Notamacropus eugenii: one gene and its partners. The protein of the gene in region 3 interacts with the protein of the main gene of each other region in a pairwise test. Links are inferred from orthologs where the notes say so. Each region holds a gene or a part of one and is shown on either strand. Other genes may lie near its edges. The genes, in order: PCMT1, ATPAF2, RPIA and PTPN11.

Evidence for each region.
Region 1: the proteins of RPIA (region 3) and PCMT1 interact in binary tests that used the Homo sapiens proteins (3 or more experiments, as listed by UniProt). The two-hybrid records come from large-scale screens. The link is inferred for Notamacropus eugenii from reciprocal best matches to the Homo sapiens genes RPIA and PCMT1.
Region 2: the proteins of RPIA (region 3) and ATPAF2 interact in binary tests that used the Homo sapiens proteins (3 or more experiments, as listed by UniProt). The two-hybrid records come from large-scale screens. The link is inferred for Notamacropus eugenii from reciprocal best matches to the Homo sapiens genes RPIA and ATPAF2.
Region 4: the proteins of RPIA (region 3) and PTPN11 interact in binary tests that used the Homo sapiens proteins (3 or more experiments, as listed by UniProt). The two-hybrid records come from large-scale screens. The link is inferred for Notamacropus eugenii from reciprocal best matches to the Homo sapiens genes RPIA and PTPN11.

What each region holds. Positions count from the first base shown.
Region 1 is NC_092873.1:241,815,268-241,823,209, forward strand, and holds the start of PCMT1 (protein-L-isoaspartate(D-aspartate) O-methyltransferase), read left to right. Parts: upstream 1-4,807; 5' UTR 4,808-4,822; coding exon 4,823-4,866; intron 4,867-5,251; coding exon 5,252-5,568; intron 5,569-7,942. UniProt on the Homo sapiens protein: Initiates the repair of damaged proteins by catalyzing methyl esterification of L-isoaspartyl and D-aspartyl residues produced by spontaneous isomerization and racemization of L-aspartyl and L-asparaginyl residues in aging peptides and proteins.
Region 2 is NC_092874.1:335,298,238-335,306,510, reverse strand, and holds the start of ATPAF2 (ATP synthase mitochondrial F1 complex assembly factor 2), read left to right. Parts: upstream 1-5,046; 5' UTR 5,047-5,316; coding exon 5,317-5,467; intron 5,468-5,520; exon of another isoform or gene 5,521-5,547; coding exon of another isoform or gene 5,548-5,635; intron 5,636-7,525; exon of another isoform or gene 7,526-8,273. Other genes in the region: GID4 (glucose-induced degradation protein 4 homolog), read right to left, coding at 4,370-4,558. UniProt on the Homo sapiens protein: Plays a role in the assembly of the F1 component of the mitochondrial ATP synthase (ATPase).
Region 3 is NC_092872.1:724,333,581-724,341,195, forward strand, and holds the start of RPIA (ribose-5-phosphate isomerase), read right to left. Parts: upstream 3,300-7,615; 5' UTR 3,264-3,299; coding exon 2,931-3,263; intron 1-2,930. UniProt on the Homo sapiens protein: Catalyzes the reversible conversion of ribose-5-phosphate to ribulose 5-phosphate and participates in the first step of the non-oxidative branch of the pentose phosphate pathway.
Region 4 is NC_092875.1:33,753,817-33,761,710, forward strand, and holds the start of PTPN11 (tyrosine-protein phosphatase non-receptor type 11), read right to left. Parts: upstream 3,419-7,894; 5' UTR 3,146-3,418; coding exon 3,132-3,145; intron 1-3,131. UniProt on the Homo sapiens protein: Acts downstream of various receptor and cytoplasmic protein tyrosine kinases to participate in the signal transduction from the cell surface to the nucleus. Positively regulates MAPK signal transduction pathway. Dephosphorylates GAB1, ARHGAP35 and EGFR.

The DNA of each region.
Region 1 (7,942 bases), on a different chromosome or scaffold from region 3:
CTGGGAAATGTGTGAAGGAATTAGGGTCACTAGGTTAGTTCAGTTCTTACCTAGCATTAGTCCCAGTAAATTCAAATTCAAAATCCAGATGATCCCCAGACCCTTCCTCTTCAGAGCTTAACTGTTGAGTTGGCTAAAGTGTGCCAGCTTGGATTTCCGGATTCCAGGATCCCCCATGGTTCACAACCTTGAGTCTGATTAAAGACTCTACTGCCTGTGCCTAGAATAGAAAAAGGAGGAAGGAAAAGTTCCAAACTCCAGGCCTGTTTCTTGGGGCTACATGGCCTAAAGTGGAGAGCAGTCCTTAGGGCCCTTTGCCTTCACCTCTTTTTAAAGAAACCAACAGTTCCAACTATATACCAATGGAAAACAAAACAAAACAAAACAAAAACCACATGGTAGGCCAATGTAGAATGTCTACACATGGTCCAGTCTTCCAGTATCCAGAAGTGGGTACCCTAGCATGTGGGTAATGCCATCTGAAGTGGTCTACGAATGCTTGAAACCCTTATTACAACAGGAAGAGAAAGTGTGAATCAGTTGGGATATGCATAGTTGCAGAAAGTACCCACAGTGATAAGATCATGGACCCATTAGATTATGGAAGTATTAAGATATATTGAAAACAGATTCCTTAAACCATTTAAAATTATATAATCTCTAGTATGGGTTTTCTCTATATATTATTTAGCATAGTCCAATTTCTCTTCCTAACTTTATTTCCTTGATTGCTATTTCTATTTTTTCATATTATACATCAGGTACTGAGATTTGGAAAAGTCAGATGTGTAATTTCCACTGTCAGCTATGATAAAAATAGGTTATTAGCTAAGAGAACTACTACTACTGCTACTACTACTACTGCTACTACTGCTACTACTACTACTACTACTACTACTACTACTACTACTACTACTACTGCTACTACTACTACTGCTACTGCTGCCTCTGCTGCTCTTACACCTACTACAGCTGCTACAAAGGTATCTCTAACAGGTAGCATGGCATGGCAGATAGAAAGCCAGAAGACTTGAGTTCAAATCCTGCCACCTACTATTTGTGGTGGGCTAGATAAGTCATTTAACCTCTCAGTGCTCCAGGCAACTTTCCAAAACTATATACTTTGTTGAACAGGAGCCTATCTGCATTGAGAGAGGGAATTTTCACTCTAGCAGTTCTCTAGGCCAATGAAATGACAAGCTTAGTTAAAAAGAAAATTGTGTGTTCTAAATAATATTTAAAGATTTTCCCCTATGTTACTTTGCACAGGATACTTTGAGTCTTTAGTGTCTCACACATGATGAGATTTCAAAATGATATCACAAAATTGTGTCATGGTCAGCAAATTTTTTAGCAGTGAATATATGTGATTTTAAAAAAATTATTATATTTTATTTTTTCCCTGAATTACATGTTAAAGCACTAACATTTCTAGTACAATACTGAATAACAATGATGATAATGGACATCCTTGTTTCACGCCTGATCTTTTTGGAAATGCTTCTAGTTTATCCCCATTACATATAATGCTTGCTGATGGTTTTAGATAGATGTTACTTATATTAAGGAAAACTCCTTTGATTCCTATGCTCTAGTGTTTTTAATAGGGATGGGTCTTATATTTTGTCAAAAGCTTTTTCTGCATCTAATGAGCTAAGCATATGATTTCTGTAATTTTGTTATTGATATGGTCAATTATGCTAATAGTTTTCCTAATCTTAACCAGCCCTGCATTCTTGGTATAAATCCCACCTGGTCATAGTATATTATCCTCATGATAAATTGCTGTAATCTCTTTGCTAATATTTTATTTAAAATTTTTTTCTGTATATTCATGAGGGAAATTGGTCTGCAATTTTCTTTCTCTGTTTTGGTTCTTCCCAGTTTAGGTATCATCACATATGTGTATCATAAAAAAGAATTTGGTATGACTCCTTATCTATTTTGCCTATTTTTCCAGATGGTTTATATAGTATTGGAATTCATTGTTCTTTAAATGTTTGATAGAAATTCACTTGTAAATCCATATACACTTGTAGATTTTTTCTTAGGGAACTTTCTAACTTTTTTATGACCAAATTATCTATTTTCCATTTGTGGTGCTCTCTATTTGGTCACAAATTCTTTCCTAATCCATAGATCTGACAGAAAAAGTATTCCCTGCTCTCCTAATTTGCTTATGTCACCTTTTTATATCTAAATCATATAACCATTTTGACCTTATCTTGATAAACAGTGTGAGATGTTGGTATATATGTCATTTCTGCCATACTGTTTTCCAGTTTTCCTAGCAGTTTTTGTGAAAGAATTTTTTTGTGAAATAATGAGTTTTTGTTCCAAAAGCTTGGATCTTTGGGTTGATTACTATGGTTGTTTACTATAATATAATATGTACCTAATCTGTTCCACTGATCCACCACTCTATTTCACAGTTAGTACCAGATTGTTTGATAATTACCACTTTATATAATACTGTTTGAGATCTGGTACAGGTGAACCACCTTCATTTTTTTTTTATTGATTCCCTTGAAGTCCTTGAGGTTTTGTTCTTCCAGATGAATTTTGTTATTTTTTTCTAACTCTATAAAATAATTTTTTGATAGTTTGATTGGTATGGTACTAAATAAATAGATTAATTTAGTTAGAATTGTCACGTTTATTATATTGGTTCAGGCTACCCATGAACAATTGATATTTTTCCAGTTGTTAAGATCTAACTTTATTCGTGTGAAGTGTTTTGTAGTCATATAGTTTCTAGTTTTGTTTTGGTAGGTAGATTCCCAAGCATTTTGTATTGTCTATAATAGTTTTTTTAATGGAATTTCTCTTACTATTTCTTGCTACTGGACTACACATTGATTTTTTAAAAAGGAATACTGAATTTTTTTAAAAACAATATTTTTAAAGTGTCATTCTCTGCTACATTGTTTTCAGCCCTATTTAACTGCCTTCCTTTGCCCTCACTCTTTTGAGCTACGATTATTATTGTCATTTCCCTACCAACCCATCACTCTGTTCTTACTCTGAACACTTATGGTCCATATCCCTCCTTTGCCAACGTATCATGTATTGCTTTTAGCATTAGTCATCTTCTGGTAACTTACACTTTATGTCTCCAACTAGATTATAAACTACTTGAGAGCAGGTTTTCCCAGTACCTAGCAGAATGCTATTCAAAAAAGGGAACCATGAAGATTTTCCTTTTTCAACCTACGATGATGCTGGCAGCTATTTTTCAGCAACAGCTTACTAAGGCAGGACATGCTAATCTAATCCATCTAGGTCAGCTTGGAAGAGGGTTATCAGATTCCTGAGAAAGGCCTCTAGGGCCCCTCCAGCCCTCCTCCCACCCCCAGCTGAAAGAACAGGTAGCTGCAGAGAGATGTAGTAGGAACCTATTGAGTTTACTGAATTCTCCAAAAGACAACTTTATTCAGTCAACAAATATTCATTGAATGATTACAACTAAAAAACTGTAAGGCACCCAATTATTTCCGTCATCAGAACTCACGCAGCATGGTGCGTTTATTTCACCCCTTTGTGATATGTACTTTTTCGTTTGTGGTCACAGAATCCCCAGGATAGTTTGCGAGCAGGTATTGTTTTCTCTGTTTTGCAGATTGGGGAATAGATTTCCAGTCGCCTTTCTGTGACTGTGAGAGAGAGCCAGAAAGCTTGAGGCTGTGCGCAGGGACTTGCCAAATGCTTACCTGCAGCTAGACTGCATTCAAAACTGTTCATTGATGGGGTTCTGGAAGACCCTTGTGGCAAGCAACTTCAGAGCAGGTTGACAAGAGCTTTGGATGTGGACAGGATGCCTGGGCCGGGTTCCCTGCCTGCTCCAGCTCATCTACAGTAAAGCTGATCACCGCAGAGCTGGAGCCCAGGCCCACTGTGTCATCTGTGAATCTTAATTTGCTGAGACTGCATGCTTGTCAGGGAGGGAGGAGCACACATCCCAGGATAATGGGGCGCGTTTATCCTCTTGGGGGTGGTTGATACACTTGTATTTGGCAAACTGTAGTCTGGGCTGCCAGCACAATTACCCCATTATCTGCTTTCCACTCCCCTCTCCAAGCCTTGCTTCCCTCCAAACAAATGCAGGGGTTTAGGGTGGGGTGGGTTCAGTAAAAGGATGGGGCAGTTATGCAAAATTAGGGGGCGAAAATGGTTCTTAAACATTCTTTTTGTGCCACACTTGTAGGCATGGAGAAAAGCAATGGGGCTTTTGGCGTCGGGATGGGTTCCAATGCCTAACTCATTGATTTACTTGGCCAAGTCAGCATCACAGCTCTGCAGCTAGCAGGCCTCAGAAACCACCTAGTTCGGCTTCATTTTACTGACGGTCCCAGAGGCCCGGGGCGGTCACCAACCTGCCCAAAGGTGCCGGCAAACAAGGGCGGACCCAGAGGACCTTCGGGAGCTCCCTCCCAGCTTTAACGGCATCAATAAAGCTTAGCTTAATTTTGATGCAACAACTGCCACCACCACCAACAAAATCACACGTTCCAATATGGAATAAAGTGTTAAACTCTCAGCAAAACAAGACAGTCCGTGAGCCTTTGTTCTGTCACCCCCGGCTGAAGCTCCGCTGCCCCGGTTAGTGCGTGATTTCGGCCACAGTTCGCATTCACCGGGACCAAAGGAGCTGGAGGGAGGGCCCGCGACAGGGGGCATACAGGGCGGGCGGGGCAAGGTGCGCCCTGCCTGCCGGTGCGTGGCCGCCCTCCGTCCCTAGTCCACCGCTTTAACTCGAGGCCAGGTCACTTTAAACCCAAAAAAGGAGGCGGTGGGCAGCGCGGCTTACGGGAGACCTTGAGGGATGCCCTTTCCCTCGTCTTGGCCGGCTGTGGAACCTGGACTGAGGTGCGGCTACAGCACCACCCGCCAGCCCTGCCCTTCGGCGGGCTGTGACATCCCCGGCCCAGCGAGGGCGCCTCGGAAGGGCCCCGGAGCCCCAGGGCCGGCCCCCGACTGAAGGAGCACTCGGCTGGGCACGAGGAGGAGCGCCAGGGGCTGCCCGCGACCTCGCTCTCCGAGGCCGGCAGCTTGCACAGATCGTCCTTAAAATCCCCAGGAAGCGGAACGCGGATGTCCCTTTCCTGTCCAGACTAGGGCCTTTGGCCAGGCAGCGGGGGGAGAGCTCAGAGCAAAGGGGAGGGATGCCACCGGGGTGGGGGCGGGGGCGGCGGCACTGGAGAGAGCGTAGGGGCCGCTGAGTCAGCCCAGGTTTTTTTTTTTCTTTTTGCAGCAGCAGCCGCCGCCTCCAGCCCCACCCGAGTGGGCCTGCTCCGTCACAGAGCGCATGCGCGCAGCGGGGGATGTCGGGAGCGCGCAGCGGCCCCGGGGGCAGTAGCATCGGCGGCGGTGGCGGCGGCGGCAGCAGCAGCGCCGGGGACGCGGACGTTGACGGGGCGGTGTCGGTGTGGGAGGTGGTCGAGTTCCTCGCGAAGCTGCTAGGCACCGCCGCCGCGCTGAAGCTGGTTCTCTACGTGTTCCAGGCTTGCCTCGCGATGGCCTGGAAGTCCGGCGGGGCCAGTCACTCGGAGCTCATCCAAAATCTCCGCAGTGAGTGCCCCAGCCGCCGCCGCTTGCCCCGGCCGGGGGCCGGGAGCCTGGGGAGGGGCCGCTGGGGGGAGGGCCGTGTCACCGCCTCGCCGGTCCCGGGGGCAGCAGCCGCCCTTCCCCGGCGGCGTGGTTGGGGAAGGCGGCTGCGGCGGCGGGTAGGACAGTTGGTGGCGCCCTCCGAGCCGGGCCACACGCACTTGTAATTCCCTCCCCGGGGACCTGTCACCTGGGGGCGATCGGCTGGCGACCGGGACCAGCTCGCGGCGAGCCGGGGATCGGGGGCGGCCGGCGCAGCGTGGGTGGGACCCTCTGCGCCTCGGCCCGAGAGGGGACCCGGAGAGGCGAGCCCAGGCGGCGGGGCTGTCACTCAGCGCCGGTGTTCGGCGTTCTCCTCGGCTCCGGCTGCAGAGGGGCGTGCCTGGGTGCGGGGCCGCGCGGAGTCCGGAGAGAGGAGTCGAGGTGGGAGTGCTGGGGCGGCTTGCGACCGAGCCCTCCTCGGACCTCCTGGGCGGTGCAGTTTTCCCCGAGTCGTTACCCACCCCCGCCTCACCTCGTCTTGGACCTCCCCCGGCCGCTGGGAGATGCTTCTGCCTGATGAGCCTCAGCCAGATTGGGGGGAGGGGAGGAGATGCTCGGGCTCCTGCCCCAACCCGAGAGCTCCCGGGAGGGGATGGGGGAGAAGGTTCGGTTTGGGCAAATGCTTCCCCAGCCCCGCCGCGGGGAGTCTTGCCAGCGGCGTTCCATCCTGGAGCTTGGTAATGAAAGGCCCCGAGATGAAAAGCTTGCGAAGGATCCTGAGACAGTTCCAGCCCACCTGGGTGGTGCATTCTCGTGCCACAGTCTGGACTCCGCTGTTTTCTTTCCCCTCCTTAAGAGCAAATTTTCTATGGAGATTGGTGGTTCCTTAAACAAAGCCCGTACAATCCCTCTTGAAGGCCAAAAGGACTGTTTCCGTAACCCAGGTCAGTTCACAGGGATCTGACCCCACTTACTTGTCTGTCGGAACTCAGCATCCATTTGGCAGTTAATCACCTTCAGCCTCATAGAGAGTCTTTGAGCTTTCTTCCTGTTTTTCCTTTGGCTCTGTAATTTGACTGTGAACTCCTTGGGGGAAAGGGGGTGGTTTTCATACTCTTTCCTCTCTTTCCACATTGCCTCAAAGCACTTTGAACACCTGTGAGGATGCTCAATAAAAGTTCGCTGATTGAAATATCAAGAACACTTTTTCACAGCTCTTAGAGTCTGGCATTTGGCCCACTAGAAACAGAAAGCTCTGGACCAGTCAGAAGACCCGTGTTGAAGTTCGAATTTCACTGCTTAGTTGCCAATGTGACCTAGGTGCAAGTCACTTATTCTCGTTAATCTTAGACTCAGTTTCTTTATTTGTAAATGAAGATAATGGGACTAATAATAATTTTGCTACCCAAATCACCAAGTCGTTTTGAGGAATTTACGTTGCAAAATGGACAGCACTTTTGATTTGTAAACTATTAAAATAATCTTGTGAGATAGGTAATATCAAATGTGTTTAAAATATGTGCAAGTAATTTGCAAGAGTGAAGTTCTCTGTCAAGGTAAGCTATTAATAGTAGTAGAAATTAATGCAAATAGATATTTTAAAAATTCTCACAAAATATTTCATTTGAAAATGTGCGAGGTTTAATAGCTACTTTGCTGCGTTTTTTCATTAGGTGGATTGTACAGGTGCTCAGATTTCTAGCGTTTCTCGCCATTTCTGATATTTACTGAGAATAATCTAAATGTTTGCTCATGAAAGAGCATGTATTTTTTAAGTGCTATAAAAGAATTGTAATTAGGTAATAGTGTTCTGCTGGTAGGTTATCCGGTTAGAGACTTGGCTGTGGCAGAAATTTGTAATCAATCAGACTCTTCAGTCTCTTCTTTTAGGTCAAATTCAGGGTTAGCCAAGACTAGATCTACTACCTCCATGTATATCCTATTTCAAGTACTTAGCTGAAAATTTTAAAGATGCTTTTCTATCTAGTGGCTAGGTGATATTTAACAGAGAGAATGTTGGCCCAATGTGCATTATTCTTTGTTTTTAAATAAGTGATATATTTCTTTAGGAGGAAATTAGAGTAGATAAGTTGCTTTATCTTTTGTAACACTTGTGCAACTTTAAGTTTCAACCTCTTACTGATGTAATATTTTAACTCCTAAGATGCTATTTTTGAGAGGTTGGTAATGGGATCATACAGATTTGAGGATGAAAAAAGACCTGCAAGTTAGAAAAAAATGAAATGAGAACTTTTAATGATTTTTTAAAAAATTAGATTTTGTTGTGAATTCTATTATAAACTTGTGTTGAAAAATATCTTCTTTTAAATGTTGTTATTTTGCCTTGCAATATAAA
Region 2 (8,273 bases), on a different chromosome or scaffold from region 3:
GAAATGTTCCTAGGCCATTATGCCTTATTTAGTTCATGCTCATTGGACTCTAGTTTGAGAGTTTTGTGCCTCCTCCCTTTCAAAGAGGTATCTTAAGCAGACAGCTGCTATCAACCCTTCTTTTCTGCTTATAATCTACTGTTTCTGGAGAAATCAGATATCCAAGTCTGTTAGCAATGGAGACTACAGCCTCTAACTATGTCTCATGGTTTCTCCTGCATCAGTCTGTCTGTAGTTCTGTTCTAAGAAGGTTAGATTGCTTTCAGACTTAAATACAAAAACATGTAAATAGGTTCAATGATATGCTGTACACTTGCTACAGCTTATGGCTTCATAAAGTCAAAGAATTTTGAGCTGGATGGACTTTACTTCTCTCAACAATTTACAGAGGAGGAAAATGATAAAGTATCTGCCCAAGACATTTGCCTATGACTCTCCTGACTTTTTAAAAGGATGGACATGACAGAGATAGGTCCAAGACTTCCATCTACTGACACATAACCAGTTGGCTCAAAACACTACTTTTAAGACCTTTATTTTGGCGCAGACCTTAATATGTATCCTGCCTAATGGTATCCCAAAGAACACAGTAACTCTTTTAAGACTAACTCCTTTTTTGACCTATGCCTGTGTGATGTCAAGGTAGCAGACTTTAGGGAGCACTTTTCAATAACCATCAGGCATTAGCTTTCTCTAGCCAGTTATATATACATAGGAACTGAAGAAAAGCCTCTTAAAAGATGATCTAAAACAACATCCTGTTTGTAACTCTTTCAGTTTTAGTTATCTCTTTCAAAATACCTCTGTACCCGTTTCAATTTCTCTATACTAAATTATCAGTCTCATGATTAAACAGTTTATTCATATGTTCCTAGTCTGTCCATTATTTTATACTAGTCACCATCTTTTATCATTAACATGAAACTGGCAGAACATGATGCATATGTATATGATGGGGCTACTAGTAGCTGAAATACTATTTTTATGTCTTAAGAGCAAAGTGTTAGAAGCACCAAAAAAATTAAAATCATAGGAAACACTTTGAAGGAAAATAATTTTTATAACTTGTTATTTAAATTATAACAATTTGTTATAATTTTTATTATAACAACTTAAAAGTTTAGTTAGCAACACTAACTAACCAGAGAGGTTAGATGTCTATATTTCTGAGTTTAAAACTACCATAGCCATTTTAAAAATAGACACATGGGATATTTTTAAGAACCACAAAACTCCCCACAACACCAAAATTCAAATGTTAAGAGGTATTTGGAACATCTTTGTAGCAGCTGGGAAGATAGGGAGATTAAAGAGATCTTGTGAATGAAATACAAACACTTAGAAATTTTATATGTATACCCAGGAAGAGAAAACCTGGGGTTCAAATCCTATCTTAGCCCCTTCTCATCTACGTAACCCTGAGACAAGCCAAAACCTTCCTGGGCCTCTCACTGTCCTCATGTCTAAGGCTGGTTGGTTCAGTTCTAGATCTATGATCCTATGTATCAAAACAAGTCTTCTACAGAGCCAAAACATTTGAGCACGGTTTTATGTGACTACCATACTGCATGTGAAAACTGTATTTTAAAGGCTTTCATGTGTTGCTAACCTTAGGAATCCAGCACTGTTTCATGAAACCAACCTGCTGCAGGCTGCAATAAAGAACTTTTACCATAACAATATATATATATATTTGTATATTACTTCACAATGATAAAGTGCTTTCACATATTTCTTGGAGTCATATATATTATTCTGGATGGATCATCACAACTGTGATATTTAGCATACATACTATTTTCACTTTGTGGATGAAGAAAGAGATTAAGTCTTGCCTTTCTCAAGGTCACAGCTGGTTAGTGGCAGAGTTGAGTTAGGTCTTTCTAATTCTAAGACCAACAATACTCTTTCCACTACACAGCACTGCCTAAATTATAAATGACATATAAAGTTCTAATCTACAACCTTGTCTATATATGCAGCACTCAATGAAAAAACATATATGGGGGTTTAACAAGTGAAGGAAAGATACCAGGGTGACATGGATATTGATGAGATGGGCTGTGGTTGTTTTGTTTTTTGTTTTTGCATCTGTGACCTGGCTAATATATTTTAAGAATAACAAAACATCAAAGAACCAGAATGTCCTACATTCAACCCAATACTTCATCTATTCTGTTTAAACTGACCATTATGAAGCTTGGAATTAACAAGGAGAAGATTAACAGTGTATATTGTAACTAGAGTGTAGATGAGAAAGATAAAAGAACATGTTTAGCAAAAAGGAGCCACTCAGCACATCTGGACACAAAGGTGCTCTCTTTATATTCCTTCCACAGTGTCCTAAGATTTCCTTTGCACTTGGCTTCTTGGATAGCAAGAAGTACACTGCAGCAAAAAAAAATGTAGACCCGGTAAAATGCATGATATGATAGAATTCTTCTCAAGGCAGAACCTCAAGAATGAATACGGTACAAGCAAACAGGCCACAGGGACAGAAGTAGCCAGGTCCTAGCTGATGGAGCAACAAGAATGCTAGCTTGATGAACGAGCTCACCATCCACCTGCAGAACAAGCACAGCCTTTACCTGACATGACTACAATCCACATTAGAAAGTTCCGTTTGAGCTAAGATGTCTTATAGCCAGCATCCATGGGCTTCTACTTTTAGCTGTCTTAAAGTTCCAGTCCTCATCCTGATCTAAAATATCAAATTCAGCAGACTCATTCTTATCCTTTTCCATGATATACATCCTCACCTGCCCCAAACTTAGGTTGTCCTCAAATGTGGAAAAAGTGAATTATTGAGATTAAGGTCCCAAATTAGAAATCAGGGTCACAAAGAAGACAAAAACATTTTCATCTTTACAATTTATGGCTAATCTCTAGAGCTCTCTTTCACTAAGACGATTTCTGCGATGGGTTGTAAAAGACATTCGCAACTACGCTCTAGAAAGGACACAAAATTTGGGAAATGAAGAGAAAGCCTATTATATATTGTTTCTAAAATTCAGGAAGAGCACAGATAAATCACCACATTTTCTCTTAATATAAACAATATGACAAAGGATAGCAGCTAAGTTTTCAGGCCTGAAAGAAAATCATCTACCTTCCCTAAGGGAAGAAAAGAAGAGAGGTCCTCTGGTATATAGACTAGGCTAACTAAGAAGAAAATGGTTAAGGCAAAGTGCACTGGACATCTTCCCATTCCAGGAAAGGAGAATAATGATTTCCACAAGACAAGGAAAAAAGGTTTGTTTTGCGCTCAAGAACAGGGGTCCCTAATCTGGGATTCATGAACTTGTTTTTAAGGTGTCTTTTGACTAAAGGCCTATTTGATCTGAGGCAAGATGCTAGACCCTCTTAGACCAAAGAAAAAGGCATGAGTAAGGAGCAATCAAGATTGTCCATCCCGTTCACACATCCAGGACAAAATTTCACATCACCACCCTGGGCAAATTCCTCCTAAGTGGCACGGATGTGCCAGGAAACATTTCCAAAGCCAGCTCAGGGAGAGGAGGTGATGTAAGAGGCAAGGAGGACCTCTTTAATAGAGGTTCACAGAGAGAAGGAATGCTGTCTGAAGGGAGGGGAAGCTCACTGGGGGGACTAACCAGACCTCTTCCTCAGGAGAAGTGGGAGTGGTTGTTGGTCAGGTTATGAAGAGGAAATAGAGGCGAGGTACGGAAGAAAGTTGCCAGGTTTCATGGGTTATTTCAACCAGGGAGCAGGTCCCCAGATGAGGAGGAAATGAGCAGGTTCTCCAGGGATCAAAGCCTTTCTAATGAATGGGTGTAAGGCAGGAGAAGAGGATGTTCTGTGCAGCAGAGAAAGGTGGAGATGAGGGTGGGGTGGGGCAATATCAGGAGTGTCGGGGCGGGGGGCGGGGGGGTCCTACGGACAGAAAAGGACAGACTGATGTGGACAGAAGGAGAGCGGTCAGTGGGTGACTCAGGGAGGCCCCGGGAGGAGGGAAGGACAGATATAAGATATCGGGGGGCACGACGTCTGGTGGGGGTGAGGAAGGACCGAGTAGGAAGTCCGGGGACAAGAGGGGAGCAGAGGCCCCGAGGTGGAGATGGGGAAGGGAAGGCCCCCGCAGCGGTCGGGGGGTGACTCAGGGAGGCCGGCCTGGGGTGCGGAAGGACAGACGTCTACGAAAAGGGGGAATTGGGCCAGAGAACTAAGACCCTGCTTGGGGGGGAGCCCCCCACCCATTGCTGGGGGTGTCAACAATGGGGGGGAGTTCCAGGGGCCGGGCATGGGGGCCTGAGCACGGGTGCGGACCAGGAAGGGAGGCCGGCCGCGGGGAGGCCCGGGCCGGGCCGGGCCGAGGAGGCCGCCCGCCCGCCGCCCGCCGGGCCGGTACCTGCAGCACCACCTCCACGTCGTACGAGTTCCCCTTGCTCTTCTGGTGGCCGCGGAACTTGGAGCCGCTGTAGAGGAGGCTGGTGGCCACTCCGGGCTGCTGGGTGTTGATGGGGGGCGGCGGGATGAGGGACGCGGCGGACGCGGCCGAGGCTCCGGCCGGCGGGGGGCACTCGGTGCGGACCGGCATCTCGGGGTCCCCCGGAGCCAGGGCGGTGGGGTGGGGGAGGGGGGAGGGGAAGGGAGAGGAGGGGGGAAGGGAAAGCCGGGGAGGGGGGAGAAGCCGCCGCGGCCGCCGCGCGGGAGCCGGAGGAGGGCGGGCTGACCGAGGGGGCCGGGCGCGCGCAGGCGCGCGGGATGAGAAAGGGAGGGGAGGGAGGGAGGAGAGGGACGCCCACCCCGCTATTGGCCGACAAGCTACTCTAGCCGCCGACGGGTGCGGGAGGACTAGAGAACGGGGGCTCCCCCTCCCTGGATGCCCCCCCCCACCCCGCCCCTACCTACACACTCATGTGCGCACGCGCACACAGACACATACCCACCCACCCACACACATACTTACACTCATACACACATAAGCTAATTCAGGCCAATTGGCTCTGACCCGGTGAGGGGGCGGGAGCAATTTTAGCCGCCGCTTCTTCTTATTGGTTGGCGTGAGCCACACGTGTCCAGAGGTCGAAGGCCCGCTGGGATATGTAGTCTTTGCCTAGAGACGGAACGAGTTCGTGACGCTGATTGGCTGGGAGGGCTCGAAGGTTAGGGGACCGGCCGGTAGTGGCTCAGGGTCATATGGCGGTGGCCAAAGGAAGTTGAACTCAGCTAGTGGTGGGAGAACTCTGCAGGCGGGTCCGGTGCAACTGCCCCAACCGTGAGAGGTTGCGGTCTTTCTCCTTCACGCCCTGGGGTCCCCTCCTCGATTGCTCCCTGTCCCCGCCCAAAGGTGCTATGTGGCGAAGCTGCTTTCGGCTCGGGGCCGGAGGCGCGAGCTTCCCACGCCGTCCTTGCTTGGTCCCTGCCGCCCCCGTAGAGCCGGGGGACCAGGCCGCGCCGGCCCCGGGGCTCTGGCTCCTCCGCCGGGCTTACGCCCCCCCCGCAGGTGAGCGCAGGCGGGAGGCCCCGCTGCGGCCGGGCCTGGGCCGCAGGTAGCTCGGGGGGGGCCGGAGAGGGGCACCCGCCATGGCGGGATGGACGGACGGGCCCTGCAGCCCAGGGGTCACCTATTCCAGGGAAAACATGTGGAAGCGTGTAGCCCTAATGTATGGAGGTATATGTGTGTGTGTATATATGGATATAGATCTGCTTATATTTGTATCTGTCTGTCCATTCAGACCTACATCTGTCTGTGCCTATAACTAGGCATGTGTAGATTGAGGTAGATCCACGTAAGTAGGTGTATGTGTAGATATGTCTAGTAGATTCACCCTTTATAGATGTGTATAGCGATATGTACATATATGAAGATAGAGGTATAATCCTATTATATATAATAAATTACATGTATCACTGTACATGGTCCCAGGTTCAGTTAATTTGGGTTTTAATGGTAAATTTACCTTGGGAAAAAATTGACAAAGAACAAAGTGGAAACAGTGCATTTACTCACTCAATCTTCATACTCGCTTTTCGGCCCTATCGATGATATACTGAGGTATTTTTTGGTTGAAAGTTGGCTAGAAAATTTCTACTGCAAGTTAAAATCTGCAGGTGTCTCGTTTTAATATTTTTAATAAATGGGTTCAAAACCTGCTGAAACTTTTCATTTAGAAGATTTTTAAACAGGTTAGAAAATTGTTTCCAAAGCTGTTTAGGTTTTTTTTTTTTTAACTTTGAAGATATGAGAGTTTATAGATGACAACATAGCATTTTTAGCAACAAAATCACATGATGGAAATATTTCCAACCTTCCATTTTCCAGTGCTCTCTTACATTAGTTCTTTCAAAAACCATTCTCATTCTTAAAACATTAAAACTCATTAAAACATCACCTTTATATTGAAAGAACAGATTCAAGTTAATTTCTTCTTAAATAACTGCTAAGTACAGTACTATTTCTGACAACCACTTTCATAGCAGAAACTATCACTTTTTTTGCTAAAAGAAAAATGTATAACATCTGTAAGTTTGGTACTTGGTTATCACTGGCTATTATATATTATCTATATTATCATATATAGTATATATATAACCAGTGAACACCTGTATTGTACAGCAGATTTTCTGGTTACTTCCCAATCACATTAAACATACATACTGCTGCTTTCTCAATAAAAACAAGCTAGAGTGATTTAGTAATAGTGATCATTTCACTTTTCAAAACTTTGATGTGAATGTTAAGGGTGTGAATTAAATATTCAGTCAATTTGATTGATGTGGCTAACCAAACAGATGAATTTTAATATTTCTCCTTTAGAGGATAGGACTATCCAAGAGGCACCAAACCATCATGAGGTGATCTGGGGGGCAGTGTATGTGTTTGCTGGGGTTCGGGGGATTGTGGGAGATGCATTGACATACCTGCTGGGATTGATTGGTTTTAGTGATGGAGTAGAAGGGGAGAGGTTTAGGAGCTGAAGGCAAAGTGGGGTAGTGTTGGGCAATAATGGTTGAAGGGGGTGCTGGGGTTGTGTTTGAGAGGTGCCTGATGATTGGATGTCTAGGCAAAGGATAGATGTAACCCATCTTCTGACTGGTTGGTCGATTGGTCGTACTCCACTTCCCCCTGCCCTTCCTAGTGGATTGTCCCATACATTTTCTCCTGATTTTTCTTCAGATTTTTCCTGGTATAGAGGAAAGCAGAGATCTTTATGAGTTCCTGTAGATGAATTCTGACAGCTACTTTGCCACCTATTCTCTTGGCAGCAATTCCTTATCTGTAGACTGTCTTTTCTAACTTGAAATATATGATTGATGTCTCCCCTTTCCCTCTCTATACTGCAGAGGGGGCAGGGCAGGGAGAGAAAGGGAGTTGGCCTGGCCAGTTAGTGGCCAGTACTCTTTACCCTAATATAGTTGCTATGGGAAAGATTTCTGATCTGTCTCCACTACCTAGAAAATAATTTACGTTGACTCATTTAGAGTTTTTATCATATAAGGGAACTTGGTAGGAAATTTACTCTGTGGAAAATTCATCATGTGGCAGATCTTCCTGAATGAGTCGATGAATGAATGAAGCATTTATTAAGCACTTATCATGTATAAAAAAACTGTGGATATAAATAGAAAAGTAAGCCATTCCCTCCTTCCAAGGAGCTCACATTCTCCTGGGGAAACTCCATATGGAAGGTTTCAGCTACAAGTCAGATTGAAAGGTCCCCTGGTCCTTAGGGTACAGCAGCAAAGCAGATGGTGATGATTGATCTTCAATGCCATTTCCACTGACAAAATCCTATCAGTTTCTGTGTTGAACCATTTGACACTGGATTGAAAGCACTACAGTTCCAAAGAGAGATGTTGGCTGACCCAACTGGTCTGTGATGCTTCCTGTCTCTCCTTCAGAATGCCCTGCAGCTTCTTCTGAGTGGGCTTGCTTGACCTCCTCCATCCAATAGTTTCATATTCAGTCCTATTCAGTTGATCTGAAAGAACTCAAAACAAAGGCAGTCTAATGCTTTGTGTTTGCCCTGTGTCTTTCCTCCAAAGAGTACACAATCTAATGTTGGAAGGTCATGGTTAAAGGTGATCTTTTTGGTAAAAACAGATCCTACTATGTGCTAGACACTGAGGCAAGTTTCTGCCATAGACGAGTGGTCATTGGCACTACAAGGTAAAACAAGATAGTGAGCTCTAATAGAAGTACAGCCTCTTTTATTTGACATTGAAGCCCTCCAAAATCTGTTTTCTACTTATCCTTGGCTGATAGGGTTTTACTGGCGTTTTCCCCCTCGTTCACTCCACTCTGGCCA
Region 3 (7,615 bases):
TGATTATTAATATTAGATGAGGAATAAGGCATAAAGTCAAGGAAGCAAAAGGCTTACTGTCATAGAGGACACTCAGTTCAAAGCAACTAGTAAAAGAAGGAATTCCTACTGAATCTATAGTATAGATGGTGAGTGACGTTCTGATTGTGAATGCCACTGAGATCACAGCATTAAGAAGCCACTGAACATCTCAGAGTCTCCTAAATGTGGATCTACAATCACTGAAAAGAAATAGGTTCATCCACAAAGTAGATGGAAAATGCCCACTGACCAGGCAACAATATGAAAAAGTCAATGGAAAATGCCCTTTAATCGGGCAGTGATATGCAGCTCTTGGACGGTCAGCCCTGCTACCAATACCAATCTGGTATGGGCCTTGTGAGTGGGCAATGGGTTAAGCCCAGAGCTCAACAGGAGGAGAAAGGGATGGACTGCTGCTGTTCTCTCAATGACCCCAAGTTTCTCCCTGAAACAAAGACCTATCTTTTTTCCACAGAAACAGTCTTCTGGTGATGCTGTATTTTACAATAAGCCATGGAAATCTACATTCTCCTAAGAACACAAGCTGAGGAGCACTCACGGAACAATGGGCCATAGAACTGTCCAAGAGAAGAAGCCAAAGTTGTTCTCCAAGACCTGAAAGGTCAGGATGGGGCTGGTCATGTAGTGAACCTAAGGGATAACCCATGAACGGCCCACACGCTCCACTGAAATTCATATAAAGTCAAATGAATGAATGAAATACATTAAATGTTTACCAAGGGCAAAGGCTATCAGGGGCAGGGTCCAAGCAGAAGAACTCAATGAAGATAGTGAGGAGAACAATAAGGAAGATGTCCAGGGGCTCCTCTTCCAAAGATGACATTGTAATCACTGCATGGAGCCCCTGAACGGCTCAGAACCATCTAAATAAGATCTTGAGTAAGTACTTTGGCACTTGGAGTGGGAGTGGGCTCCCAACACAGATAACAGGGCGCAAAGGTTAGGCGGAACGAATGAATTTCAACCTGTATCACTAAAGTGTAGAAAAAAGCCTGGAGAATACCTTGTTACAACTTGTGTGTGCTGAGGGTCTCAGTTTCCTCATCTATAAATGGTAGAGGTGGGGGGAGGATTAGAGATGATCTCAAGGCTTTCAACTAAATTTATGTTCAACTACTTCCTCCTCCTCCCCCATGATAAATGCATATACAGATAATAATGGTGGGTCTAACTGTAAGGGGCAGCTAGGTGGGACAGTACATAGAACGCTAGGTATGGAGCAGGAAGCCTCATCTTTGTGAGTTCAAATCTGGCCTCAGGCACTTCCTAGCTGTGAGACCCTGAGCAAGTCACTTACTTGCTGTTTGTCTCAGTTTCCTCATCTGGAAAACGAGCTGGAGAAGGAAATGGCAAACCACTCGGGTATCTTTGCCAAGAAAACCTCAGAAGGGGTCACAGAGAGTTGGACGCGATTTTAAACAACTGATCAACAAATGATTTTAAACTTTCCCACAAAGATCTCCAAGAGATCCTTTTTGATTTGAGGGAGCCCCTAGTAGAGTGCCCTTGCCCACTGGTGGTAGTTAAGTACCCGATGAACACATACAGGAATTTCAAAGGGAAGTGGGACTGAACAGCTTGAACATCTCATAAAAGGAAGCAGGGTGGGAGCCAGTCAGAACGGCCAAGCCCAACGTCCCCTCCCAGTAAGTCCCCCTGGAGCCCGGTGGCAGTGATGGGCAGAAGGCCGGACAGGGGTCCAGGAGCCTGCTGGGGAGGGGAGGTTTCTGTCGCCCCAAAAGAGCTAGACCTCGCTACCGACTCTGCCAACGCGGGCGCGCACACGATCAGAACTTCACCCCACAGGAATCTGCTTTAAGATGCAGGATAGACTAAAAGGGGAGGGGGCTCCGAGTCTGGGTCCTCTTCTGCTCTGAATACACCCCAGCACCCCCCGGGTACTCCAGGACAGCACTGGCCACGCAAGGACCCCCGACCCGGCGAGGCGCGAGGTCCTGCCCGCACATTCACCACCTTCCGAAGGCGGAGGCGCAGAAATGGGGTGCCTGCCAGGGTGCCAGGGCACCGGGCAGGACCAAGCCCGGGAACTCCCACGGGGCAGGGATATTCTCCTTCCAGGAGGGATAATGGACATAATTAACTTGATCGGTTGTAAATTAACTCAAGGAAATGGGCTCCGCCCAACTTTTTTCCCCAAACAGTTCTCGGGAGCCGGCTCACATCTTTATAAACAGGCATTTTCGGGGCTGAGGCGGGGGAAGAAAAACCAGGACTTCGGCAGACCCCGGCCCACTGCGGGCCAAGGTCGGCCCGCCCCCTGCCCCCCGCCCCCCGCCCCCCGCGGCCTCCTTGCCTCACCCCGCCCAAGTCTGTAAGCAGGCTACAGGTTCCCTCGGACCCGGGCCGGAACCAGGCCGAGGAACAGGACCGAGCGGCACCTGGAGCTGGGGGGATCTGCCCCGCCTCACCTCCCAACACGCTCCCGGACCCCCAAACCCCCGGGGTCCAGTGTGCGGATGAGGAAGCCGCCCAGGCCGGGGCCCGCCACATGGCCCGCTCCGCCCCCGCCTCGTGGGTCCCCCGAGTCACTGGGGGGGCTTCCCCGCCCGCCCCGCCCTGCTCCCCTCCAAATCCAACTTTCCGGGGGGCCGCCTCTGGCCCCCTCCATCCCACCAGTGGCGGGCACGCTGGGGCGCCTGCCCTCGAGGGGCTTCCATTCTAGGACCGGAGGCTGCCGGGCACAAGAGACCCTCCCCGCTCGCCTTTTACAGATTGGGAAACTGAGACTGGGAGCGGGGTTCCCGGAGCCTGGGCGCGCCAGGGGCGGGATTCGAACTCGTCTCCCAGCGGCGCTCTCCACGGCGCGGCCCCGGGTGGAACCTGGAGGGCTTCCCGGAGGAGGCTGACCCGGGGCGGGGGGCACTCACCTTCACGTGGTTTTCCACGGCCGCGCGGCCGGCCTGACGCTTGGCTTCCTCGGTCTTGGACATGGTCCGGGCGGCGAGTGAGGGAAGGAGCGGGGGCGCGGGAGCGAGCGCGGGAGCGGGAGCGAGCGGAGCGCGCGCCGGGGCCGCGGCCGAGGCCACTAAGTGTCCGCTGCCCCCGCCCGAGGGCTGGCGCTGGGGCGGCGGCACGTGCGGCTCTCCCGCGCGCCAGCTCCCCCCGCCCCCGGACGAGGCCCCGCCCCCGGCCCCGGCCCGCCCGGGCAGTGGGGCCAGGACCCGCCCGTAGAGCGTGCTGAAGGGCCCCGGGCGCTGCATCCCTGCCTCCGCCGGCCCAGCCGCGCCTGCCTCGGCTCGCCCCGCCCCGGACCGCCCCGGAAATCGGGCCCGCTCAGGAGGGAGGGCGCCGCGCGAGCCGGCGCCGCTGGGAAATGTAGTTCGGGAGAGGGGCAGACCCCCGCAACTGTCCGGGAGCTCGGACTACCAGCCCCAGAAGGCAGCGCGCCTACGGCCTCACGGCTGTCCGGGGCACGCCCCGGCTTATCCTATCCTGGTCTGAGAACACCTGCTCACGTGCTTGAGCCCCGAGGCGGCCTTGGAACCAGAGGCGGTGCGCACAAGCACGCGCCGGTTGTACAGGTGCAGCTAAATGACTCGTCCGAGGTCACCACGCCGAGGGGGGCGGCAGGTGCATTTGAACCAAGGTCTTTGATCCAGCCGCCAGTGCCCCCCTATGAAATGGGGGGCCCCCAAGGACAAGCCTCCTTTGGCGTGCGTGCCCTCGGTGGAAAGAGCGCTGGCCTGGACCCCAGCCCTCGACGCTCACCCTGAGACAGTCGTAAAGGCTTAGCTCCGAGTGTGAAGATGGGGGGATAGCGCCTCCCTCTCGGGGTTGTTGCCAGGATTAAACGAGATCACATTGGTACGTGGCTTCGCAGACCTTGGAAGTGCTTTGGTTATCCAAGCGGGCAACCCCCCGAGGTTACTTTTGAAGAAATTAAATAATAATCGCCAACAGAGCACCGAATAAATGAGCGGAGGGAAGAGCCTTTGTTAAGTGCCAGGCCCCAGGCATGGGGCCCAGGCCACAGACACCAGAGCGCTAAGACCTCGCGACTTCGCCTTCCACGTGGAGAAGAGCGCACGTGGGTGATGGTGGGGGGCTGGGGCCTGCGGGAAGGTCGTGGAATTCATCAGCCTGGGGATGGGGCAGTGGAGGCGATTGAGGGAGGGAAGGAGCTACAGGCACCTTCTCATCGGATTAAACGTTACACCTTTTATATAGATAACCCCCTCCCACAGGGACTTCCATCTCCCACCCCTTTTTGAAAGGATGACCCATGGTCCTCAGTCCCTTCATCTGTCAAGAGAGGCGTGGGAAGCATGGTAAAAGCGCAATAAATCTTCCCAAAGATTAAGTGAAATAATATTCATAAAGTGCTTCACAAACTTTAAAGCTAGCTGCCTTATTACTATTAAATTAACAGGGAGGGGGGAACCCAAGGGACCTGCAGGTCAGGCAGTATGTAACTCCATGACGTCAGCAGTCACACAGCTGCCACATTCTAGAGTGCTGAGATCTGGTACATGTGATAACTGCCCAAACTGGTGGAAAGGGATTGGAATGCTAATGGCCTGGAGAAGGAGCTTTCTTTTTTCTTTTATTTTTTTCCACATTCATTTTTTATTAGATTTTGAGTTCCAAATTTTTTTCCCTCCTTTCCATTGCTTCTCCAAGTAATCTGATATAGGTCATATGTGTGCAATCGTGTTAAACATATTTCTACATTAGTCATGTGAAGAGAAAAACAGAACAAAAAGGGGGAAAAAAACAACAAAAAATTAAAAATAGTATGTTTTGATCGGTATCCAGACTCCACAGTTCTTTCTCTGGATGTGGATATGTGGATAGCTTTTTTCTTCATGAGTCTTTTAGAACTGTCTTGGAAGAACTAAGTCTGTCAAACTCGGTCATCACACATTACTGTGTATAATGTTTTCTATGTTCTACTCACTTCACTCAGCATCAGTTCATTCGAGTCTTTCTAGGTTTTTCTGAAATCTGCCTGCTCATCGTTTCTTATGGATCAATAGTATTCCATTCTATTCGTATACCACAGCTTGTTCAGGCTTTCTGCAGTTGATTTCCAGTTCTTTCCTGGACACCACAAAAAGAGCTGCTATCAATATTTTTGTACATGCAAACCCTTTGCCCTTTTTTATCATCTCTTTAGGATTACAGACCTAGTAGTTGTGTTGCTGGATCAAAGGGTAGGCACAGTTTTATAGCCCTTTGGGCATAGTTCCAAATTGCTCTCTAGAATAGTTAAATCAATATACAACTTCTAAATCATGAGGAGTTTTCAAAAAGGGGTCAAAGATGAAATCTGCAAACTATATGGTCCGGGCAACTTGACTTATATTCCTGACAAAAATCTAAAACACATTTTAAAAGGTTTATTCTATATCTTTTTTTAAAAAATCACTTTTATTTCTTCAGCTCTGTTCAGCAGTTTGTGCCAAGCCAATGGATATTGAATTCTGGGAATGAATAACCCATGGCTGTTTGTCAAACTGGATGGAGTGCCAAATCTAGAATCAGGAAGACCTGAGTTCAAATCCAGCCTCAAACCCACTACTTGTGTGGACAAGTCACTTAACCCTGTTTGCCTCAATTTCCATGTCTGTAAAATCAACTGGAGAAGGAAATGGCAAACCACTCCAATATCTTTGCCAAGAAAACCCCAAGTGGGGTCTTGGAGAGCCGGACACAACTGAAATGACTCAGCAGCAACAACAAATCCATGGTTGAAGGCTGGCAGGGCAAGATCTTTGATAGAAAAGTGGGACAAGAAGACAGTGTAGACATTAATTGGATCCCAAAGGGGTCAAGATAAGAAAAGGAGGAGAATGTAGCTAATGAAGGGGTGATGGCTTGAGAAAAAAATGAGAAGTAAAGGGATTGGAGATTGTTATGAGGAATACTGTTAAGGGTTACAAGGCAGAAGGAGAAGTAGAATGATGTTAAATTATGATCAGATGAGGGAATTCAAGAGATCATGAACTTGGAAATTAAACACTTACAGGAGATGATCAGATCAAGAGTTTAACTGTGTAGTTGAGATGGGGTGGAGAACTTTTGTTGTTGTTCAGTCATTTCAGTCGTGTCTGACTCTCTTTGACTCCATTTTGGGTTTTCTTAATAAAGATACTGAAGTGGTTTGCCATTTCTTTCTCCAACTAATTTTCCAGATGAGGGAACTGAGGCAAATAGGGTTAAGTGACTTGCCCAGGGTCATACTGCTAGCAAAGTCTCTGAAACCAGATTGGAATTCAGATCTTCCTGATTTCAGGTCTGGCACTGTATTCACTGCACCATCTAGCTGCCCTGAAGTTTAGAGGCCTAGGGTTCAAATCTTAGTTCTGCTACCTCCTGTTTTTTGGGGTTTTTTTTTAATTGATAAAGTCATTTAAGTTCTATGGGCCTTGGTTTACTCCTTTATAGAACAAAGCGTTGGACACAATTGTCTCTAATTCCTAAGCTCCTTTGTCCCCCAATATCTTCTCTGCCCCATCATGAGCCCTCATGCTACTGTGATGTTTAAAAAGTTCGAGACATGGTTCCTGGGTAATTAGTCATTTTATTAATAATGCTAGCATTTTGTTAATAAAAGGATTGGTCGCTTGACTGTCTATCTCAGACTGAAGATGAATCATGGTGGTGGGCTCACAGTTTACATGCCCTTGGAAGAGTGGGTATTCTTGAGGGTGTCAATCAACTCTGATTGATTGACAATTAATGGAGAAAATTAATATTACAATGAGAGGTAGACCTAATGAGGGGCTGGGGTGGGGGATGTAATTGATTACATCATTTACTTCTCAATTGCCCAGCCTAGGGAATTTAATCAAAGAATTTATCCCCACCCAAAACTGTGTAGAGTAAATGGGCTTGATTAAATTCTTTGTAAGGTTGGGTGGGGTCCGAAGAACCAAGAGGAGAAAGTTAATTCAGTATCATTATCAGCAGTGACCTTCAGAGATTTAACAACCTACAGAGTTCTGAAAAAATCCTGGTCCTAAATCAATAATTGGTTATATGAGGGAGAAATAATCATTTATCTCACTGCTTGGTACTCAGATAGGGAAGGACTAACTGGAGCTTAATTCCTGGCCATGACAGGGGACAGGGGGAAAGAGGAGAAAAGGATCTCCAGCTCTTGGGGAATCAGATCTAACCACCTGTCTGTGGGTGTATAAGATGAAGACTGACCATGGTACCAAGATATATTGTCCAATTTGATGCTGACTGTGGATACTAGAAGATAAATAAAATGGGTGATTCCATGGAACTGGGTATATGCTCAGGCCCTGCAGGGATGAACCTGCTCCTTGACTTCTTGCTGAGTGAAATGCAAGGCCTTCACTTTGCTGAGACAATGCAGCAACTTGTATTGGTCCCCACAATCGTAGAACTGTATAATGGAGTCTAGATGGCGAAGTGGACAGAACACTGGACATGGAGTCAGGAAAGCTTGAGTTCAAATTTGGTCTCAGATGCTTCCTAGCCATGTGACCCTGGGCAAGTCACTTAACTCTGCCTCAGTTACCTCAGCTATAAAATTGGGGGGTTGAGGGGTGATAATAGTAGCTCCTACCTCACAGCATTT
Region 4 (7,894 bases), on a different chromosome or scaffold from region 3:
GAAAAAGGAATTTTTGCATGAGGAATTCCACAGAGTGAAGCAAACTATAGGCGAGGAGTCACACCTCCACTGTCATGAAACCAGAGCAAGAACCAGGAGGCTAAGCAAGGATGGCTCAATCCCTCCAGTTCTCTGAGATGAGAAGGGAATCCCACACTGAACAGCTGAGGGGAGGAGAAAAAGGGCTGGAGTTGGAACAAGTGGATGGACTCCAGCTGGGCTCCGGCTCAGACATTCACTAGCTGTGTACAGACTCAAATCACTTCACTTCAGAACCTCTATTTCTTCAAGATGGGGATTAATAATACCTCCTGAAGTGATCGTGAGGATGTATGTAGATAATATATGAGGAAGGACTCTGCAGACAAGGGGAAGAAACTGACTCAGCTCCAAAAAGCACTGTGACTGGCCCAGGGTCACACAGCTAGTGTGAGAGAATTTGAACTCGGGTCTTCCTGACTCCAAGTCCAGCATTCTAGGCTGTCTGACAGTGATTACTATCACAGTTACTATTCCTGTGCTGCTGTTAACTAGACAGTTTTCTTCTCAACAGCAGAAGCGAACTGGAGGAAAAGCAGGCTATCCGTCATTTAAAATTCAGTTAGACCATTTGGGCAGCTTCACCTGGCTAAGACTTTGCAGTTTCCAAAATCATCAGGCAACACAACTCTTACTAAGGAGACCCTTTCCTGTACATCCCCCTCCCCCCTTTCCCCCCATGCTTTTCATGTCCTAGAAAGGCAACTCCTTCCTAGTTCAGAATAGCAGACCTTGAACAAAGGCTCAATGGTTACTTTGATAGATGAAGTAACACACAGACAAAGGCTCCGAGAGAGGACACTTTAGGCCACAGCCACACAGCGTCTTGCTGAAATGCACCCAGATCTGACAGAGCTTGGCATCACACCTGCCCAGGTCATTCGCTTCCTAAAGTTTCCAGGTTTGGTTTTTCCCTACCCCAAACAATCACGGAAACAAATAGAAAGACAAAGATGCAGAATGAAAGACACAAAGACTGAGAGAAAGAGTATTAGGGAAATATTCCTAATTTCTTAAGAAGCTTCCCATTTGGATCATACCCTGTCCCAATGCTATTATTTAAACATCACAAAAGAGTGGTGATGTTTTGGGACTGAACAAAACTGAGCAGTCATCAACCAAAAAAAAAGATGGGTCTATAGCCAGTACAACCCATAAAGGATTAGTAACATCTGGTAGTAATGATAGGTCTGACTGAGGGCAACGAAGTGCCCTGTACAGACTGTACAAGCTTAATAATAGTTAGAAAGTAATAATTCATTCTTCAGCCTACATCTTTTCATCTAAGAAACCCAACGCACCTTGACACCAATTCTCACTAATGCTACTGATTCTGTCCAGAAGAGGAAAGAGCTTGACAGTTGCCAAGAATTGGACATGAATAACCTGAGGAAAGGACCTAAAACTACCTCGAGGCTTACTTCGGGTCTGCCTAACCAATGCCAGTCCAGAGAGGCACTGCCTCAGAGTGGCTAACTAGGAGCATTATTACATACACAAGCACCAAGAACCTCTCCCCCAAAGGAGGGTGGCTGTGATTTCTGAATAATTATTAGGCAATTTTCATGAAGCAATGAGTAAGGAATGTAGTGCACAACCATGACCTACTTCAGCTTTGTATCTTCTGCTTATAAACAATCCCTGCCTTCCAGCTTGGAGGCACTAAAAGAGTCATTACTTAGAGCAGAGTGGAATGAATGAAGAGATCACAAAAGAGAAGAGCAGCTGGGAGCAGAGTCTCTACCCTGGTCCCCCTTGGATGAAAACAAGAGGAAAAGAAGGTAGAGTGGAAAGGAGTACTGATCAGTGTTTCCACGAAGAGACCTGAGGAGAAGATCCAATTCTGACACTTAGTAGCAGTATTTCCATATTTCCATGAGCAAGTTCCTTCCTTTCTGGGAGCCTCAGTTTCTTCCTCCATTAAATGGTAATAATAAGGCTGGTATCTCACAAGGTTATTATGAGAAGTGCTTTAAACCTCATGAAAAGGTGTTTATTATTTTTCCAATACCAAAAACTAAATATATAGAGGAAAGTGAAAGACACACAGCTGGGAAGGGGAAACGAAAACGGGGACATTCCTGGGGAGACAGAAGGGAATCAGGAGATCCCCACACCTAGCAAGAGCAGCAGATTCCTGAAGGAGGGTAAGAGGGGGAAGGAAGGAAAATGAAAAAGGAAACAGAAGAGAGATAACAAACTGTGCTAAATGCTGGAGATGCAAAGAAAGACAAAAAGACAGTTTTTGCTCACCAGGAGAGAGGAAAAAGAGGGGAGAAAGGAGGGACAAATAAAGAGAGGAAGGAAAGAGAGAAGGGAAAGAAAGAGGGGAAAGAGAAGAGACGGAAGGAGAAAAAAGAGAGAAAAGGGAAAAGAAGAGGGGAAGGGAATAAGCATTTATTAAAAGTCTACTAGGTGAAAAGCTCTTTACAAATATTTTCTCATTTGACCCTCACAATAAAGCACAAGGGGGAGGGGGGAGAAGAAAGTGAAGACGAGAGGGAAGAATGAAGAGGAAAGAAAGAGTGGAGGGGAATAATAGAGAGGGAGGAGGGGGAAGGAACAGAAAAGAGAGAAAGAGGGAGAGGGAGAAAGGTGAAAAGAAAAGGGGAAGAAGAGTGAGAGCAAAAGGGGAGAAGAAAAAAGAATCGAAAGGGAAAGGGGAAGGGAAGAGGAGAGGAAGAGGGGATAAAGAAAGGGAGGAAAAGAGGAAGGGGAAAAAGAAAGGAAAAGGGGAGAAGAGGAGGTGGAGATGAAAAGATAAGGGAAAGGGGGAACAGAGGGAGGGGGAGGGGAGAAAGAGGAGAAGGAGAAAGATGAAAAGACAGGGGAAAGGGGTGTGGGAAAGAAAGGGGGGAAAGGGGAAAGGGAGAAGGGATAAAAAGGGAACGGGGAGGGTGGAGGGAGGGGGAGGGGCGGGGGAGGGGCAGAAGGGTAAGAGCCAGAAGAGGCGGCTGGGGGAGGGGAGAGAACAGACTCCACTGCCCCTCCCCCAGCCCGCCCGGTGGGGGAGGGGGTCTCGCGGCCGGGGAGGGGGAGGGGCGCGCGGTGCTTTGTGGGCGGGCGGGGGTCGCGGGGGTCGCGGCGCTCACCTCCGGGATGTCATGTTCCTCCCGCTCCCGGGCTCCTCCTCGGATCCGCTTCCTCAGGGGCCGGGCCGGGCCGGGCCGAGGGTTAGCGCGGAGCCCGCGGCGCTCCGGCCGCCATCCAGGCCTCGGGATCCCGGAGACTAGAGACGAGCCGCCCCCCCCGCCCCCCAAGCGCCTCCGCTCCGCTCCGCTCCCCCGCGCCTCCGCCCCCGCCCCTCGCCGCCCGGCACCGCGACAGTGACGCCATCGGCCTGCGACGCCAACCTCCCGCCAGGCCGCCGGTCGGCCCCAAAAGCCTCCCGCCGGCCGCGCGCGCCGCGCACTTCCGGCTTCCCCCTGCGCAGGCAACTGCGCCCCGCGCCGGGGGTTCCGCCCGCCAGCCTGGGCCGCCCCGAAGCAAACGGCCGCGAGGGGGCGCTCTGGTGTCAGGAGGATCCGCGAGCTCCGAGCCAGCGCCCTCCACGTGCCAGGCACTGGGCCCGCGGGAGGCTCCCAGGGTACACGCTGTGCCGGCCCAGCTTCCCGTCCACCCCCTTCTGTGCCTGGCACACGGCAGGTGGGCGCGAGAGTGGGTCTGGAAGCTCAGATCCAGCGTCAGACCCTGGGCGAGCCAGACATTTAACCTGTGCCTCAGTTTCCTCATCTGTAAAATGGGAGACAAAGCACAGGCGCCTACTCAGTCAATTCCCGCGGCTCCCTCTTACCTGCAGGAGCCCTCCAGCATGGGCCTTCCTAGCCCAGCCCAGCCTGTCTGTGCAGGCGTCGCCCCTCACTGCCCAACCTGGCCCCGGGGGCACCTCTCGGCTCGGGCTGCCCCCGTGCCTACCAGCCCCCTGCCTCCGGACTCTCCCAGCTCCTCCAGGAAGCCCCTCGTGAGCCTCCCCTCCGCCACGTGCTCCCCCTCCTGCCCTGCGGGGCCGGTGCTGTTCGGATCTGGGGGTTTCCTCCCCTAGACTGTAAGTCCTGGAGGCCAGGCGCTGCAGGTTGCTTCATTGTATCCCTGCTGCGCACCGCGTAGTAGGTGCTTAATGCGCGCTTACTGAACGGAATTGAACCTGCTTCCCAAACACGTTATGAGATAAAATGAAGTCATATTGGTAAAGTTATTGGCAAACCTTAAGGAGTTGTATATATCTAGCTGACACCCCCTGTTCTAAGAACCCCCCAGCCCTGACACCCCCTGTTCCGAGGCCCCTCCCAGCCCTGACACCCCTTGTTCCAAGGCCCCTCCCAGCCCTGACACCCCCTGTTCTAAGGCCCCTCCCAGCCCTGACACCCCTTGTTCCAAGGCCCCTCCCAGCCCTGACATCCCCTGTTCTCAGGCCCCTCCCAGCTCTGACACCCCTTGTTCCAAGGCCCCTCCCAGCCCTGACATCCCCTGTTCCAAGACCCCTCCCAGCCCTGACACCCCCTGTTCCAAGGCCCCTCCCAGCCCTGACATCCCCTGTTCCAAGGCCCCTCCCAGCTCTGACACCCCTTGTTCCGAGGCCCCTCCCAGCCCTGACATCCCCTGTTCTCAGGCCCCTCCCAGCTCTGGCACCCCTTGTTCTAAGTCCCCTCCCAGCCCTGACATTCTCTGTCCTTAAAGGCTCTCCCAGCTTTGACATTCTATTAAAGTGGAAATAACACCAGAACAAAGGATTTCTAAGATCAAAAAATAGCAATCGTGATGTTAGAACTCAAATGCCAAAAATGCCTGCTTGAAAAATGATCTTAATACTCCCACAAACACTTGCTAAGTACGTTTTTATGTGGGAGTTATAGAAATATTAGGTTAACCTGTTAGTTATGTTAAGACATGAGATTTCTTAAATTTTCTATTTCGTAAGCTCTTTGATGAAAAGGATAGAGCCCTGAGTCTGGAGTCAGGGAGATCTGAGTTCAGACATTTACTGTGTGATCCTAGGCAAGTCACCTAAACCTGAGCTTCTTCCTTTGTAAAGCAGAGGTGACCTCCTGGCCTCTATCTACCTTTATCTGCCTCAGTTTCCTCAACTGTAAAATGTAGATATTAACAGTACATACCTCCTAGGATTGTGATGAGATAATTATTTGTCATGGAATAATATTCGTTAAAATAAGTGCTTAGCGTGGCATCTGGCACATATTGTTGTCTGTTGGTCCTGTCCAACTCTCTGTGACCCCACTGAAGATTTTCTTGGCAAACATACTGGATTGGTTTGACATTTCCTTCTCCCACTGATTTTACAGATGAGGAAACTGTGGCAAACAGTATTAAGTGACTTGTCCAAGGCCACACAGTTTTTAAGTGTCTAGTGCTATATTTGAACTCAGGTCCTCCTGACTCCAAGCCTGGCACTCTATCCACTGTGCCACCTAGCTGCCCACCTGACATAGAGTAGGCACTATGGAAGTACTTATTTCCTTCCTTTCCTTTCAATACTCTTTGAACTTTGAATAATAGTGATAAGCTAATATGTACATAGGAATTTAAAGCTTGTGATACTGTTTGTGTATATTAGTATATGACCTTCAAGACAACTCTGTGAGGAAAGAGCTATTATACCTATTTTACAGCTGAGAATGGTTAAGTAACTTGACCTTTACTTGATAGCTCCTTAATCTAACTTGGGAATCAAACTCAGGTCTCTCTAACTCCAAGTTTGTCCCTCTTTGTACTTCAGCCAAGTCTACTGTCACATGAATTGGTAGATTATTAGTTTTATTTTTAATCTGATGCCACAGAACTTCTTTGGAGAATTAATAGTTACAAAGTATTTCATCCCCTAGTAATCACTGGAGCAAAATATTTCTAAGACCAAAAAATGGAGACTCTGTAGAACAGAGGAGAAAAGTAGCATCGGTTCTGGAGTCAGCAAGTCAAGCCATCACCCGTCACAGTTTGTGATGTCATTGGTCCAATGAAGGACCAACCACAAGATCTGCTCATGTATTCAAAGGTAACCTGGTGTAATGACGAAGAGTACTAGACCTGGACCTACCACCCAGGGTGACTGTGAGGATAAAATGAATATTGGTACAGGGCTTTGCAAACCACAAAGCAACATATAAATGAGAGCTATTTGGTTGTTTTTATATAAATGCTCAAGTCACCTACATAGCAGCTATATGATCATGTGTAAGTTACTCCCCTTCTCACAATTTCAATTTCTTCATCTGTAAATTGAGGCTAAAAATAATTGTCCTCTTTGTTATGAGATGATGCTACGCAAGTGCTATGTATGAGTATGAGGGTTCTTTTTTTCAATTTTTATTTTAGATAGAACCTGTGGTTTCATTGGTATAAGGAACTCCTAGGAAATTCTGTCTCCCAGTGCAGGTCTAGGTGAAGCAACTTGCCTAGAGTCTCCCAGTCAGTATGTGTCCAAAGCAGGACCAAAGCCAAGTCTTCCTGGGCTCTCTAGCCATCATGCCACACCCTCTTAATGTTTATATGTTTTATATTTAACTTAATATTTAAATATATGTTATACATTTATAGTCAAAATGAAGAAGTTTGACTGGATAATCCCTAAAGACCCTTCCTTCTAGTTAAAAACATTGTTTCTCATTTATTCTAAGGTTCCTTCCAGTTCTGATTGCAGATAACGACATTTTTCTTACATTATGTCCTACCCTTTGGTCATTCAAGAGTTAACAAAAGGAGATTTACTTAGCCATAGCAGAAGAATATTCAACAAGGATGTGGCTTGAGGAATCCCTGAGCTGACCTTGTATGAGCTGACCATCATGCTCTGCCAGCCAAGCAACAGGGAATCCTGGTCCTCTCGGCTGTTTTGGACTCTACTGACCAGGAAATGATGTTTAAAAGCCTAATAAGCCTTTAAGCTGTCTTAGCCAAACAAATCTCAAGGACAATTTCAGTATCTAAAACTATCCCAACTTGTATGAGAGCAGAATTTAGGATTTTCCCATGAGTTAATGCTCCCACCACAGGGAAACTGAGGACCAGAGAGGGGAAATTGCTTGCGCGTTGTCACAAAGAGTGAGTACTTGAATCCAAGCCCTCTGTCTTCTCTCCCAATGTTCTCTCTACTAAAAAGATGTAGTTGTTAAATATGAGAACTAGAAGGAACTATCATTGTACAGAAGAAGAAACTGAGACCTAAAGACTTTCCCAAGGTCACACAGGTGAACTCAACGAGCGCATTATTAGTATAATAGTATTATTTGTTTATATGTATATCATAAAAGTATTATTAGCTTATAAGGTAAAACTTAGATGTGAAACTTCACCTCTTCCAGGAATTACATCGGGATGACATGGACAGGAATATGTTATTTCCCATTAGTTGGACTCCTCTTAAATTAGATGAACTCCTCTTAAGAAACCTAACAACTCCATTATATTAAAAAATGAAAGGTTCCTCTTCTTTTGCTTGAACTGTATCTTCAGAGTGTTACAAAGTACTCTGTAAACCTTAAGGTGCTGTATAAATGCATGTTCATACTACGATTTTCTTCCTTAATGTTGTGGGGGCCATGTTCTCCCTGGAAATACATCCTCCATGAGCCTGTGTGTGCAGCATTGTAGGTGATGATGATATTTCAGTGCTGACTCTGACAAGATGGAAGCATTTACAGTATTCCTGGAAAGTTAACTGGATGCTAAGTCTTGTGAGGGAGTCAGGATGCAAGAAAATCCAAGCAAGTAGATCAGAAGAGACAAGAGATAAAAATGGTTTTGGAGCCAGGAAGTTGCCCACCTCCCCTCCCCCAACTGGGTTTAGCTCCTGCCATGACTAACAGAAGGCTTTCCCTCAGCCACCCTGGAAAGCAACAAC